Tamandua tetradactyla: one gene and its partner. The protein of the gene in region 1 purifies or fractionates together with the protein of each later gene. This does not show direct contact. Links are inferred from orthologs where the notes say so. Each region holds a gene or a part of one and is shown in the gene's direction. Other genes may lie near its edges.

What was found.
Region 2: the proteins of FIP1L1 (region 1) and CSTF2T purify together in Homo sapiens (co-immunoprecipitation; 3 studies listed by BioGRID and IntAct, with this or other methods). This does not show direct contact. The link is inferred for Tamandua tetradactyla from reciprocal best matches to the Homo sapiens genes FIP1L1 and CSTF2T.

Annotation. Positions count from the first base shown.
Region 1 is NC_135345.1:53,598,114-53,606,058, forward strand, and holds the start of FIP1L1 (pre-mRNA 3'-end-processing factor FIP1), read left to right. Parts: upstream 1-4,930; 5' UTR 4,931-5,169; coding exon 5,170-5,254; intron 5,255-6,416; coding exon 6,417-6,461; intron 6,462-6,555; coding exon 6,556-6,595; intron 6,596-7,945.
Region 2 is NC_135339.1:45,357,802-45,364,636, forward strand, and holds the start of CSTF2T (cleavage stimulation factor subunit 2 tau variant), read left to right. Parts: upstream 1-3,815; 5' UTR 3,816-4,149; coding exon 4,150-6,063; 3' UTR 6,064-6,835. UniProt on the Homo sapiens protein: May play a significant role in AAUAAA-independent mRNA polyadenylation in germ cells. Directly involved in the binding to pre-mRNAs.

The DNA of each region.
Region 1 (7,945 bases):
CTTGCCAGAAACAACTAGCAATATAAAATATAGTGTTAAAGGTTGTCAGAATGCAGAGGATGGATAACTGGGACTTAATTCTGATCACTCAAGAATCTACAGCGGGAAGAAAGCTCTACACACATGCAATTATTCAGGTTACTCAAAGGAGAAAGGGCCTAACCCACAAGGCACAACCTGCTTGCCTATAATAGGTCAAATGCTTTGACATTTGAAATCTCAGTTAATTTTTGTTACTCTTCCAAGAAATGGGTGCAAAATGTCATTTAACATACCAATAGTACTTAGGCAAGTGACATTTAAAGTTGGCAGCAAGAGATAAAGTCAGGATGAATGTCTGATCTGCTTTATTTTTCCTTTTCTTAGTTTTTTTTTCCACCACCTTCATTAATTTATATTCATTCAAAAATCATTTACAAGTACTTGTACATACCAAGTACTGAGCAAGGCATTTGTTCTAGTTTGCTAGCTGCTAGAATTCAATATATCAGAAATGGAATGGCTTTTAAAAGGGGGAAATTTATTAAGTTGTGAGTTTACAGTTCTAAGGCCATGAAAATGTCCCAATTAAAGCAAGTCTATAAAAATGTCCAAATTAAGGCACCAACAAGAGGTTAGCTTCACTCAAGAATGGCCGATGAAATTCAAGGTTTCTCTCTCAACTGAAAAGGCATGTGGCAAACATGGTGACGTCTGTTAGCTTCCTCTCCAGGCCTTTTGTTTCATGAAGCTCCCCAGAGGGCATTCTCCTTCTTCATTTTCAAAGGCTGCTGGCTGGTGGGCTCTCTGCTTCTTGTGGCTATGCCATTTGTGTGATTCTGGCAGATCTCTCAGATCTTAAACCTTTTCCAAAATGCTTCCTCTTTTAAAGAATTCCAGTAAAGTAATCAAGACCCACCCGGAATGGGAGGAGACACATCTCCATCTAATCAAGCTTAATATCCACAAGTGATCAAGTTACATCTCCGTGGTGATAACCTAATCAAGTTTCCAACCTATAGTACTGGATAGGAATTAGAAAAAATGGCTGTCTTTACAAAATGGGATTAGAATTAAAACATGGCTTTTCTAGGGCACATAAATCCTTTCAAACCAGCACAGCATTTGTGATGGTTAGGCTCATGTCTCACCTTGGCCAGGTAATGGTGCCCAGTTGTCTAGTCAAGCAAACACTGGCCTGTTACTGTGAGGACATTTTGTGGATTTAAATTATCAGTAAATTGATTGCATTTATGATGGATTAGATCTATAATCAATTAAGGAGAGTATCTTCAGTAATGAGAAATGTTTAATCCAATTAGTTGAAGACTTTAAAAGGAGAAGTGATGATTTCCGCAGTTAGAAGATAAAATTTTCATCTCTACTTCAGCTGGCCAGTTTCTCCTGGGGAATTCATCAAAAATTTTCATTGGCGTTCCCAGATTACAGCCTGCCCTATGGAACTTGGACTCGTGCATCTCCACTGTTGTATGGGATAATTTTTTTTTTAATTATCACCTGTAGGTTCTGTTTCCCTAGAAAACCCCATTATACAGCATTTTTATTTGATCAACTATTGTCACCATTTTAATCATATACTGAGTACCTTCTTTCAGTACTTCTCAGAAAGACATATTACGAGAGATTTTTTTTTTTGCCAAGAACCAACAGACCACAATAATAAAATGGACAACACATATAAACATAATATATGGAGTACTGTACTTTTATAAGGTCATAACGCAAGAGAAATGCTAACCCTTGGAAGTGGGAGGATCTGTACACAATATCTTCAAGCTATTTTGGAAGAGTGTTCCCTGATGAGTAGGGAGGTAATGATGTCTTTAAACTAAGGAAGACTCTAAAGGCAATTAACTAAATTAGGAAGCTAAGGAAGGAAGAGGGCTATAGGAGTGGTTATTAGTGATTTATGGGCTTCTCTGCCTGTTGGAAATCTTCATTTGCAAAGCTTACTTCAAATGCCACCTCTACCACAAAGTCAATTCTATTGCATTAATTACTATTCATCAATTCCTTGGTTTGGTTTCAACAATGCCTTGATTTCAAGGTAGCTAAAAGGAGAAAGATGCTCTTCAGCAAAAAGTAATTGGTTTTCCCATGAAACCACCAAAGTTTATTACAGATTCATAGCATGAAAAGAAGAATGATGAACAGATGGAACTATGAGCCATTGCCTTATGATATTCCCAAAGTGGTATGTAAAACCTTCATTCCATTACTTCATTCCATCAAAGACCAAGAAGTCTACTACATGTTGGGCATCACACCAGCAGCAGGAACCACAAATAAATGGCTTGTTTGAGGGAGGAATTGGTCTAGTGAGGATGCTTAGAAAAACAAATATGTAGTCAAATAATCACTATATGATGAGATAGATATAAGCCACAGAAACAGCATAGGATGTAGAAAATTATTAGCTTTGCCCTACTCACTTCCCAATACCTCTGACCTTGTCTATAACTCTCTCTCTCATGCTCACTCCTCTCCTGCTACATTTTTGGGTTCCTAGAATCCCTTAAGCACGCTTCTACCTCAGGCCTTCGCACTTCCTATTTCTACTGTCTCACAGTCTATTCACCCAGAAATCCATGGGGCTTACTTCCTCAATCCATTCAGGTATCTAGTCTTGCATCACCATATCATAGTGGCCCTTACTGACCACCTGATATAAAATTGCACCCCATCTCTCTTTATCCCTCAGCTCTAGTTCCCCTTATGCTGCCACTCTTCTTTATAAGCTTAATTACCACTGACATATTATACATTGATATGTTTATGTCTGTCTTTCTCATTAGAATGGAAGCTCCATGAGACAAAGGACTTTTTTTTACTCAGTGTTTTGGATCTACAGAGCCCAGAAGAGTGCCTGGCACTGTTAGGTGCCCACATAAAATTTTTTTAATAAATGGAAAGGGATGAAGTGGGATTCAAGAAAGATTTCACAAATGGAATTATATTTCAACAGAGTTTAGAAGGCTGCAAGGGATTACCGTAAGATAGCAGAGACTGGAAAAAGCAGCTAAAGGAGTGTCCAAAGATAAGGGGTATTAAAAACACAGGCTTAAGTAACTTGAGATGGTGTGTTATTGGTTGGGTGCAAGCACTTATGCTTCTCTTGCGGCAGTCTGCCTTTTTCCTTGTAGGAGAATTAATTACTAACCACCTTTTTGTCTTTCTCAGTAAATTGAGAGCTCTTTAAGGGAAGGGACTCTTTTCATTCATGCCTCTATATTTAAACATATCAGATACTCAATCGTTTTTAAATAAATTAATGAAAACAATTTGTATTGATGAAAGAGAAAGAAAATTCATTATTTGTAAAACTAAAAAGGATTTCTTTCTGTTTCTTCCCTTTTCTGAAAAGGGAGTGTCCTATTTGAAAACCTTAGAACTGAAAGTAAAGTTAAAAATCATTTAATTCAGCTTTCCCATTTTACAGATGAGAAACTGAAGCATAGAATGACTGACCTGAGGTCATGTAACTATCTAGTTATAGTTAAGAACTACAATTCTGGTTTTGACCCATCATACATCATCTTCGCTTTGGAAAACACGTTCTCAAAAGATGCCTGAAAATTTACCTTTATCTATTTAAAACTGCACATACTTTATGACCTATCTTGGAGAAACATTTGTAAAAGTCTGCAAGTTATTTACAAAGATTTTCATCACAGTTTTTTGTTGTTGTTGTTTGTTTTTTTGCTTGTTTTGGTAAAAGTGAAATAGCAAATGCTTAATTGATACAGAGTTTCAGTTTGGGGTAATAGGAAAGTTTTGGTAATGGATGGTGATGATATAGCACAACATTATCAGTGTTAATTAACAGCACTGCATTATATATTTTAAAGTGAATAGAGGGGAAATATATGCTACTAGAATAAAAATTGAAATAAAAACACATAGCTCTCTACAATACAGTGAACCCTAATATAAACTGTGGTCTAGATTTAATAGTATAGTAATATTATTTCATTAATTGTAACATAGGTACCTCACGAATGCAAAGTGTTAATAATAGGGTAAACTGTATGTGTGTGAAGGGAGGATATGAGAACTCCATTTTCAGTACGATTTTTCTATAAACCTGAACTTCCCTAATTTAAAAAACAAGAGAAAAGTTGAAAACAATCCTGTCAGTAGGGAAATCAATAGGGAAATAACCGTGTTGACTTTATGACAGCCACGCTATGGAATGTTATGCAACACTTAAAAAATGGAAATAGTTCGATATATGCCAACATGGAAAAGATCTCCAAGACACTGCTGAGTTAAAAAGAAAAAAAGCCGCAGGGTGATATGCATTGTATTTACCTTTTAAGACTAGTCAACCTTAGATTCCTCCACTAAAACAATACCATACACGAGAAATAAGTACATAGAATATTTCAGAATTCTGCACACCAGATTCAATGGTTACTTCTGGAGAGGTAGGCAGTGGATAAAGGGTTCTTTGGCTTTAATTGTAATATTTTCCTGTGTTTTTTCTTTTTAACAAGAAGGATGTATTATTCCTATATTACTTTGCTTTTGTTTCCTATAAAAAAAAGGTGGGCATGATTTTTTCGCGGGGAAGGGCAAGAACTATTTCTTCTCTAATGAGAAACAGAGACCTAGAGGTAACGATTCTGTACCAAGGCTGATACAACCTGTAATGAAGAAAACAATGCCCTTCCGAAGACAAAAAAAAAAAAAAAAAAAAAAAAAAAAAGGTTGAGAAGAGCAACCATCCGGGCTAAAGAGAACAATGGCGCACTTCCCGGAAAAGGCAACACGAGTTGTGGAGGCAAAGTCGGGGGAGGGGAATTCTAGCAGACGCAGGACGCCGCCGCGAAGAGCCCTACAGAAAGGCAAAGCGGCATTCCACAGGGGCGGGGCCAACTGCGGCGCACACGCGCAGTTAGGTCCAGGTGGCCGCCGCCGCGGAAGCAAAGCCACCGAGAGCAGCCGCGCAGCTTGCGTGCTGCTGCGCGTGCGCAAGCTGACCTGCTCTTGAGTCTTCATCTTTGCCGCCTCCGCCGCCGGCGGCCGCCCACCCTGGATTTAAGTCGCGCGCTTTCTTGGTTCGCTCGCTGGCGGGTTCGTGCCCCCCTCGCGCCCCTGGGCAGCGAGTCTGGGGAAAGGGTTTGAGGGGCTGTTGATCGCCGCCTTTAAGTTGTGCTCGGGGCGGCCATGTCGGCCGGCGAGGTCGAGCGCCTAGTGTCGGACCTGAGCGGCGGGACCGGAGGGGATGAGGAGGAAGAGTGGCTCTATGGCGGTACGGAACTTCCTTTCTCTCCCTCCCAGGTTTTCGCAGACTTCCTTTCTCCGTCCCCAAACGGCTGGCGTCATGGGCCCATCAAGCCTCGGCCTTGGGCCTGTTGTGCGGAGCTATGCTCGGCCTGACTAGGCCAAGCGCGGCATGCACGCTCTCCCTCGGCTCCCCTCGGCCTCCTCCTGCCCAGCCCACTCCCCCAGCACGCACCGCCCCGCAGCGGCGGAGGACGCGGCCTCGCCGGAGCTGGGGGTTTCGGGGTCGGAGGCATGGGGGCAGTACGGTGGAGTTTCTTCCTCCTATCTGTCGGGACTTCTTGGCTTCCTTGTCTTCGCGTTCTTTACACTTGTTTCTTGTATCGATTTTGGATGTTTTTGGTGTTTCTCTTTTTGCTTCTTGGCTGTAGGATGCCATTCCCGTTCGTTTCTGTCAGAAAGTCGTCCTGTAATAATAGCTAAATAAAGTTAATGCTGTAAAACTAATGTTTTGTTTCCTGCTGGTCAGTTTGTATGGAATGCACCTGCAAGTGTACCTCCTTGTCTCAAAGTCGTGCTTTAAAAAAATAATTAGTGAAAGAGAGAAAGGAGAGAGATGGAATGTATTTTACGACCCATAAAGAAAATCTTGAAATTTTCATGCTTTAAGGTGAAGTTTCTTTTTAGGGACTACTCTGAGTCAGTTACACAGGTTATCTCAAGATTGTGTGTGTTTGTGTCATCCCCTGTATTTTTCTCAAAATAAATTTAATGCATCTTGTGCCTCCCTCTTGAAAGGGGCTTGTTTGACATGTGGTTTTTAACTTTAAATCACAATCCCTTCATGTCTGTTGCTGACACCAGCTTTAAAAGATTATATTTAATACTTGCCTAAATTCTTGATTATCTTTAGAATTGTGTAGTAAAGGTGTCTGTTTCTAACACCACATAGCTTCTTGATGGTGTGACGTTGATAAAGCTGTGAAGTAAATTCCTTGTCTTTGGTGGCAAGCTTTAACATTAGTAAAACTCTCCGAAATATCAATGTGTAGGTTTTCTTATACAAAAGATGTGGAAATCTACAATACGTTTAAAATTAAGCTATTTTTATAGAAGTAAGATGTGAAGATTTTTTCCGTAAATTTTATTTTGTTAATTATAAGGTGATCTAACTTTGGATGTGCTTATAGGCCCATGGGACGTGCATGTGCACAGTGATTTGGCAAAGGACCTAGGTTAGTGCTTGTGATTTGATGATCACTTCAGATTTTCATAAAACCTGTTTCATTAAGAGTGGTTTGTTTACTTACTTACTTATTTTTTTGTTAGATGAAAATGAAGTTGAAAGGCCAGAAGAGGAAAATGCCAGGTTAGTGAAATCTGTTGGTATTTACTATATAGATTGTGTGATGCAACTGTTCTATCAACAAATAGACTTCTTTCATTTAAATCAATGGCTTAATTGCAAAATTTTGAAGAAAGTCGGACCCTTTAGTGTGCATTCTTATTTCAGGACCTAATCTTCTCTTATAACTGTGCTCAATAATGTAATAACAAAAACTACTAACAGACATTTTAAAACTTAAACATTTTTTTAAGAAGGGAGCCAAGATATTACTGCTTTTACAGTTTAACATTTTTGATGTTGTATGCTCTTTAGTTATAATTTCAGTATGTTCCATATGTTTAAATTCACAGGAGAATTAATTTATTAGAAGAATGATTCCCATTGTTAGACTACTAGAAAGTTTTGAGTGCCATGTGTAAACGTAAAAGAGCCAAGAATTTTGTATTTCGAAATAACTCATGTACATGGATGTGCTGTCTTTATTCTGACCAGATTGTCTTAGTGTCCTATTATGTGGTTGGGGGTGGTGTAGAAAGAGTTTTAAAGAATATTTGAGCTTAAAAGTGGAAACTTCACACCCACTAATATGGCTGTAATAAAAAGGACAGATAGCAGGTGTTGATGATATGGAAAAATTAGAACCCTCATACATAAAATGCTGCAACCACTTTGGAAAAGTCTGAAAGTTTCTCAAAAGGTTAAGCAGTTACCATATGGCCCAGCAGTTCCACTCCTAGGTGTTATACACTGGAGAAATAAAAACACAAAATTTGTGCATGAATGTTTATAGCATCATATGTCATTATAGCCCCAAATTGGAAACAACTCAAATGTCCATCAGCTGATGGAAAAATAAAATATGGTATAACCGTACACTGAAATACTATTTAGCAATAAAAAATGAAGTACTGATACATGTCTCCATCATTGATGAACCTTGAGGACATGCTAAGTGAAAGAAGCCAGTCGCAAAGGGTTGTGTATGTTATGATTCCATTTATATGGAATGTTGAGGATAGGCAGCGTATAGCAGATTAGTTCTGGCCAATGATGTGGGAGGGAAAATGGGAGTGAGCATGAAATTTCTTTTTGGGGTGATGAAAATGCTCTGAAATGAGTGTTGATGGTTGCATTACTTTGTGAACAATGAATTGTACACTTTAAATTCGTGAATTGTGTTATATAAATTATATTTCTAAAGCTGTTATTTAAAAAAGTGAGTGATGAAGGGAAGAAGTGGAAGAAGAAATAGCTGAGGAGAAACTGAAATAAGAGTGTTCTTCCTCCTCCAAAATATTGTCTCCTGTTTTGCAAGAAATTTTTTTCATTCATTGTTGTATCATGAAATTTTATCATTTAGTTTTTGTTGTT
Region 2 (6,835 bases), on another chromosome or scaffold:
CTTTATTTTGTTAAGAATACAAACATGTAAGAGCAGTTGGGGGCCCTAGTCATAGCTATGAGTGTCCCTGGGGGGTCAGGGTCTTCCCTGTCCTTCTGTGAATTTATATTAAGGGGAAGTCCTGAAGTGAGCATTGAAGGACAAGAAGGATTTAGACTTGGGGAGAAGAGGTAGAGAGGAAAAATATTATCCCTGATAGAGGAGCAGTATAACCTCAGAGGCAGAAATGCACAGATCATATATGGTGAAAAGTAAGTGGTACAACTTAGAAGAAAATACATAAAAAGGAGGGAGGCTAATGACAACGAAGCCACATAATTATAACAGGTTGTCAAATGCAGGAAGCAAGTGCTGCAATTTAGGAAAACTGTCATGAGGGACTGAAATAGACAGTTCAGGTGCAGAAGATACCATAATGGAGAAAGAATCTATAACACTGGTATTCTTAAACCCTCACCATTTATTCCATGGTCATGTTTCAGAAAGAGGGAAGAAAGCCTGACTGCACATCAAATTTAGACTCGTGAATCTGGTGGTTAAAATCTTTTATAATCTGTCTCCCAAATCAATCATTTATCACCCTACTAAACAACTCTCTATTGATTTCCTCTGTGAGTATCAAAATTACCAGGTCCCAACTGTGTGTCTTGGCTACTCCTAGCTACTAGATTATCCTCATCATCTTTTTTTTAAGCAATTTTATTGAGATACATTCACAAACCATATAATTATGCAAATTATATAATCAGTAGTTCACATTATCATCATATAGCTGTGCATTTGTCATCTTATCATCTTTTGTCCATTTGACCAGATTATAACTCATTCCTTAAATCCCATCTTCATCAGGAAACGTTCCATGGTGATCTAGATGGTATCATTCTCTTCCATCTCTATGTTACTCATTACATATCTGGTTTATCAAATAGTAACATGGACATACCATGCCTAAGCTAGGAGTGAACTGGTAGGATTCTAACAGCATGCTTCTTTCCTGCTTTGGAACATATCATTTAACCCCCAAAATTTCCTTCTCTGTAAAATGAAGGGCTTGTGGATTAGCTAACCCTAAATTCATTTTTCATTACTCACTGAACAAATATTCAGTGAGAAACTACCAGTGCTAAACTCTATTATCTGTACTGAGGATAGTGATGAAGAAAAACCATCTATCTATGGCTGTTTTCCTGTAGTACTATGGCTCTCAAACTTTAGCCAGCATCAGAATCACTTGGAAGGCTTGTTACAACATGAATTTCTACACACATGCACCATGCCCTCCAGAGTTTCTGACTCCCTAGTTAGGGACAGGGCCCTCAAACTTGCATTTCTAAGAGGTTTCCAGGTGATTCTGATGCTTCTGGTCCAGGGATCAAACTTTTGAAAAATCTCTATTCTTGTAGAATACTTGACTTTTTCACTGCTGTATTGCCTCTGACTAAAACTATACTCAGTATGTATTTATGGAATGAAAAAAATAATAGAAATTGATATGGGGTATCTAGCTCTTTCTCTTGAATGATTTTATAGTCTACAGGGAAAACACACTAATTTCATTAACAGGTTTAAGAGTTATTGTCATGAGGTAGGTACAAATAAGGAATGGTTTACATCAAAAGGAAAAGGAAATTATGTTCAACCTCGAGGAAGAGGAGGAAGATCTGGAAAAACTTTGTGGAGGAATATATTCAAACTGTGCCTGGAAGAATCCATATACATATTTCAAAGATGCCTGCCACACTCAAAATATTTTTAGAACCTCTCTGTTGAATTTATCTTATTAATCTATAGTGAATCTTCCATTAATGTCCTCAAAGTCTATGGAATCTTTGTATTTTGGTATAAGTTTTGATATTTGAAAATAGCGAAACATCAGACTTTGGCATGTCTGGCCAGAAAGTTGGGTGATTAATTTGTTTCTGCCAAAAGCAAGTTTTGCCACTAATTATCTAGTATTACTTAATGATGGGGCCCTGAAGCGATACCTCAGAAAGCGTTTATAATTCAGTTTAAACAATGGCAGCATCAATAACTAAAGTTCATATTCTATGAAGGTAGTCGGTTTGAAAGACACCCCCCATTTAGCCATCTAGACCCTGATGTATTTTTTTAATCATCATTTGCATAATTAACAGCTTGATTTATTGAACGAATTGATCAGTGGACATACAATAAGCTTTGTATATTTTTCTTCAGAATAAATATTGTGCTATAAATCCCTTAAGTTTAAACTTTCTGGGAATAAAGAACATTGTATAAAAATGGACATTTTTCCAAAGTAGAGCTATAAAAAATATGTATTTTCACCAGTAAATGTACACAGGTTCATAAGAGCTCTTGGTGATTCTGGGCAACTCTGTTAATAATAAATATTAGTTTATGCGTTGCAGGCATTTACTTATGTGCTGGGTCACATTGGTCCTCCGTGAAGGGGGCCGTGTCAAAGCAGCACCCACCATTCTTCCTATCCCTGGATGGAACAGGGTGACTGAGAAGACCATGGAGGGCTAAGGACAAAAAGCAGGCTCATGCTCTCGGCTGTTTGTCCACAGAATTTCTCAGCTTCTCTTTGTCTACCCATCCTTTGAGCCCGGGGTTATCTTCAGTTGTGTGTGTGTGGGGGCGGGGGGGGGGGGGGAGTTGCGTATCAGTACATCCTAGCAGTACTAGATCCACATGATTTTTTTTTTCAAACCACCCAGCTCTCCTACCTTTTAACAGAGTGTACTAAATTTAATTCGGCCTAATGCATGTGAAGATAAAGCATTTCAAGTTTTTTGTTTACGAGTGGTTGTTAAAAGTGTGGGTCCCAGACCAGCCTGAAACTTGTTACACATGCAAATGACCTAGTCCCACCCCGGATCAGAACCTGGGTGGGAGAAAAGAGCCCCAACAATCTGACTTAACGAGCCCTAGTTCCAGGTGTTTCCGTTGTGGGCTACCATCTGTGAACCACTGGGTGCTATCAGTAGCAGCAGTAAAGGAGCTACTTTTTAAAAGTTTTCTGAAATACCATCTTTAACTCCTCACAACCCCACCCCCGGCCCCCCATAAAAGAAAAAGAATAAGGGGGGGGGGATCTTTCCTAGCAGACAGCTTTTCTGTTTCTCTGAGGCAGCAAGTAGATTTTATTGGGTGATATATATACGCTTGCACATACAAATTGGCATGTGTCTTGGGCGAACAGGTATGTCAAATCCTGTTTGAAAAGACTATTAAAACACTTGAGAGTAAATGGATGCAATAAAAATATCGTATTATATACACTGAACTATAAACTAAATGCCTACTAATACAATGGTTACATACATTTGCTTAATTCAAGCCTTGCAGCCACAAAACGCTATTTATTAGCAATGATTAACATTAATATCGACTAGCACTATTACGAAAAGAAAGAAAAACAATCCAGTATGAATTGATTGATTTTGTGAACCAAGAAAAATCTGCAAGAACCGGCAAACCCGAAGCAACAGATTGGGGGCGGGGAGGGAACCGGCACACGTGTTCAGTCTTTCTGCTTAGGCAGTTATTTTCCAAATATGTTTTTCTCTAAAGGAGAAATTATGTTTGTAATTTAAGGAGCGAATATCAAATCGGCTTTAAAACTGCCCTTTCTGTCATAGTTTGGAACATGGTTTTAAATATTGCTTAAATACTCTACATTAAGAGTAAACGGCTACATGAAAATATTTGCCTCAGAATGAAGAAACACCCCCCTGCCTTCATCAGCTTTCGGTTGGCGGTTTCGCGCCGGCCGAACGGAAGCCGAACGGACCCTTGACGTCAAAAGAGGCGGCCTGTCTCGTTTACCAGGATGAAGCCAATACTGCCATCTTTACTTAGGTCACCTCACACCAAGCTCTCCCTGGTAGGAGTAGGGCGCCATGGAAAGTCGGCATAATAAGAGAAAAGGAAAAGTGCATCTCGGTAACAATTTGCTGACAGAACCACGAAAGGCCTGGGGCTGGCAAGCGTTAAACTAGGGGGACATACAGGTGCGGTTTCCGCAGAGAAGCGGAACGATTCAAGCGCATCAATGAGGTTTCTGCCCGGATTTTGAGAGCCGTTTCCGCTAGTTGCCGGAAGTGTGTATTGGGGGACAACTCTCGAAAGAATCCGCTATCCGCTGTTTTCATAAACGGAATCATGTCGAGTTTGGCTGTGAGAGACCCGGCAATGGATCGATCACTGCGTTCCGTGTTCGTGGGGAACATTCCGTATGAGGCAACTGAGGAGCAGTTAAAGGACATTTTCTCGGAGGTTGGTTCTGTTGTCAGTTTCCGTCTGGTATACGATAGAGAGACGGGAAAACCCAAGGGTTATGGCTTCTGCGAGTATCAAGACCAGGAGACCGCGCTTAGTGCCATGCGGAACCTCAACGGGCGGGAGTTCAGCGGGCGAGCGCTTCGGGTGGACAATGCTGCTAGTGAAAAGAATAAGGAGGAGTTAAAGAGTCTAGGGCCGGCAGCGCCCATCATTGACTCACCCTATGGGGATCCCATCGATCCGGAAGATGCCCCTGAATCAATTACTAGAGCAGTCGCCAGTCTCCCTCCGGAACAGATGTTTGAGCTAATGAAGCAGATGAAGCTCTGTGTCCAAAACAGCCACCAGGAAGCTCGAAATATGTTGCTTCAAAACCCGCAGTTGGCTTATGCGCTGTTGCAGGCACAAGTGGTGATGAGAATCATGGATCCAGAGATTGCTTTGAAAATTCTGCATCGTAAGATACATGTCACGCCACTAATTCCGGGCAAATCTCAGTCTGTCTCCGGCCCAGGCCTGTGCCCAGGACCTAATGTTCTGCTGAACCAGCAGAACCCTCCAGCCCCTCAGCCTCAACATTTGGCTAGAAGACCCGTGAAAGACATTCCTCCTCTGATGCAAACTCCTATCCAGGGTGGAATTCCAGCCCCGGGGGCGATCCCAACTGCTGTTCCTGGACCTGGAACTGGTTCCTTAACTCCTGGAGGAGCAATGCAGCCCCAGGTTGGAATGCCTGGGGTTGGCCCAGTGCCTTTAGAGCGGGGACACGTACAGATGTCAGATCCCAGGGCGCCTATATCTCGTGGACCCATGACTGCTGCTGGCCTGCCTCCTAGAGGACTGCTAGGAGATGCTCCAAATGATCCACGTGGAGGGACTTTGCTTTCAGTTACTGGAGAAGTAGAGCCCAGAGGTTACCTGGGCCCACCCCACCAAGGTCCCCCCATGCACCATGTCTCTGGTCATGACAACCGTGGACCTGCCTCACATGAAATGAGGGGAGGGCCATTAGCAGATCCCAGAATGCTAATTGGAGAGCCCAGAGGACCCATGCTAGATCAAAGGGGTCTACCCCTGGATGGTAGAGGTAGTAGAGATTCTCGAGTGATGGAGACTCGAGCCATGGAGACTGAGGTCTTAGAGACACGAGTAATGGAGAGAAGAGGAATGGAGACCTGTGCGATGGAAGTTAGAGGCATGGATGCAAGAGGAATGGAGATAAGAGGTCCTGGCCCCAGTTCAAGAGGCCCTATGACTGGTGGAATCCAGGGTCCTGGTCCCATCAGTATGGGGGCAGGTGGCCCTCAGGGTCCCAGACAGGTTCCAAGCATTTCAGGAGTGGGAAATCCTGGAGCTGGCATGCAGGGGACAGGCATCCAAGGAGCAGGCATGCAGGGGGCAGGCATGCAGGGGGCAGGTATGCAGGGGGCAGGCATGCAGGGGGCTGGTATGCAGGGGGCAGGCATGCAGGGGGCTGGTATGCAGGGGGCAGGCATGCAGGGGGCAGGCATGCAGGGGGCAGGCATACAAGGGGCAGGCATTCAAGCAGTGGGCATCCAGGGGGCAGGCATACAAGGAGGCGGCATGCAGGGGGCAGGCAAGCAAGGTGGAGGCCAGCCTAGCAGTTTTAGTCCGGGGCAGAGCCAGGTAACTCCACAGGATCAAGAAAAAGCAGCATTGATCATGCAGGTTCTTCAACTGACTGCAGATCAGATTGCCATGCTGCCTCCTGAGCAAAGGCAGAGTATTCTGATTTTGAAAGAGCAAATCCAGAAATCCACTGGAGCTTCTTGAAAAGTTTTAGAAAATACACAAGGCAGTAATCTCAGAAAGTTAATTCTGTAGCATGGAGAAGGGGTGCAAAAAGCTGATTTACACATCCCCACACTTGAAAGTTTAAGATTAAGGTTTACCTCTGCTTCCTAGAGCCTAATCTCATTTTTTCTTATTTTTCTTTCCTTCAGCTTTCCTTTTCACTTTTAATTGGGGGGAGGGGGTGGAGGGTATGGGTCTGTTCACTCAAGTTACCGAGAAATACAAAAGTAACACTGAACATGATTGTATTTTACCAAAAAAGCTTATAAAGAATGTGCGACAATATGAAAGGTATCTACAATATGTTAACTACATTTTTAAAAATTGAGTAGAACTATGAAAACTGCACATAAAGATTATGGTAACCTGTGTTAAAATGGCAATGTGTTAAGATAGTTTAAGATTTTAAGTTGTAGAATAAAAAAGTTTACCTCAAAATTATAAAGTTATATTTTTTGGTAAGCCATTTAAAGGCTAAGCTTTATGTTTTTGAGTTATGTTGAAATGTTAAGAGTTAATGGGATAAGTTTAAACTTGTGGTATTGGAATTGCTTTCTTCTAAAGCTGTGCTACCTGAAAAATCAAGGAGTGCACCTGGTTTTATGTTGCTTCATTTATCCCACCCTTCAGAGACATTGTTCTAGTCTAGCTCTGATTAGATTCAGTCTAATTCAGTACCTTCCCTTGCCTCAAGTCTTTAAGCCCTAAGTCAAATCTGAGTAATTTTTACTTGAAAATTTGTATCACAGAA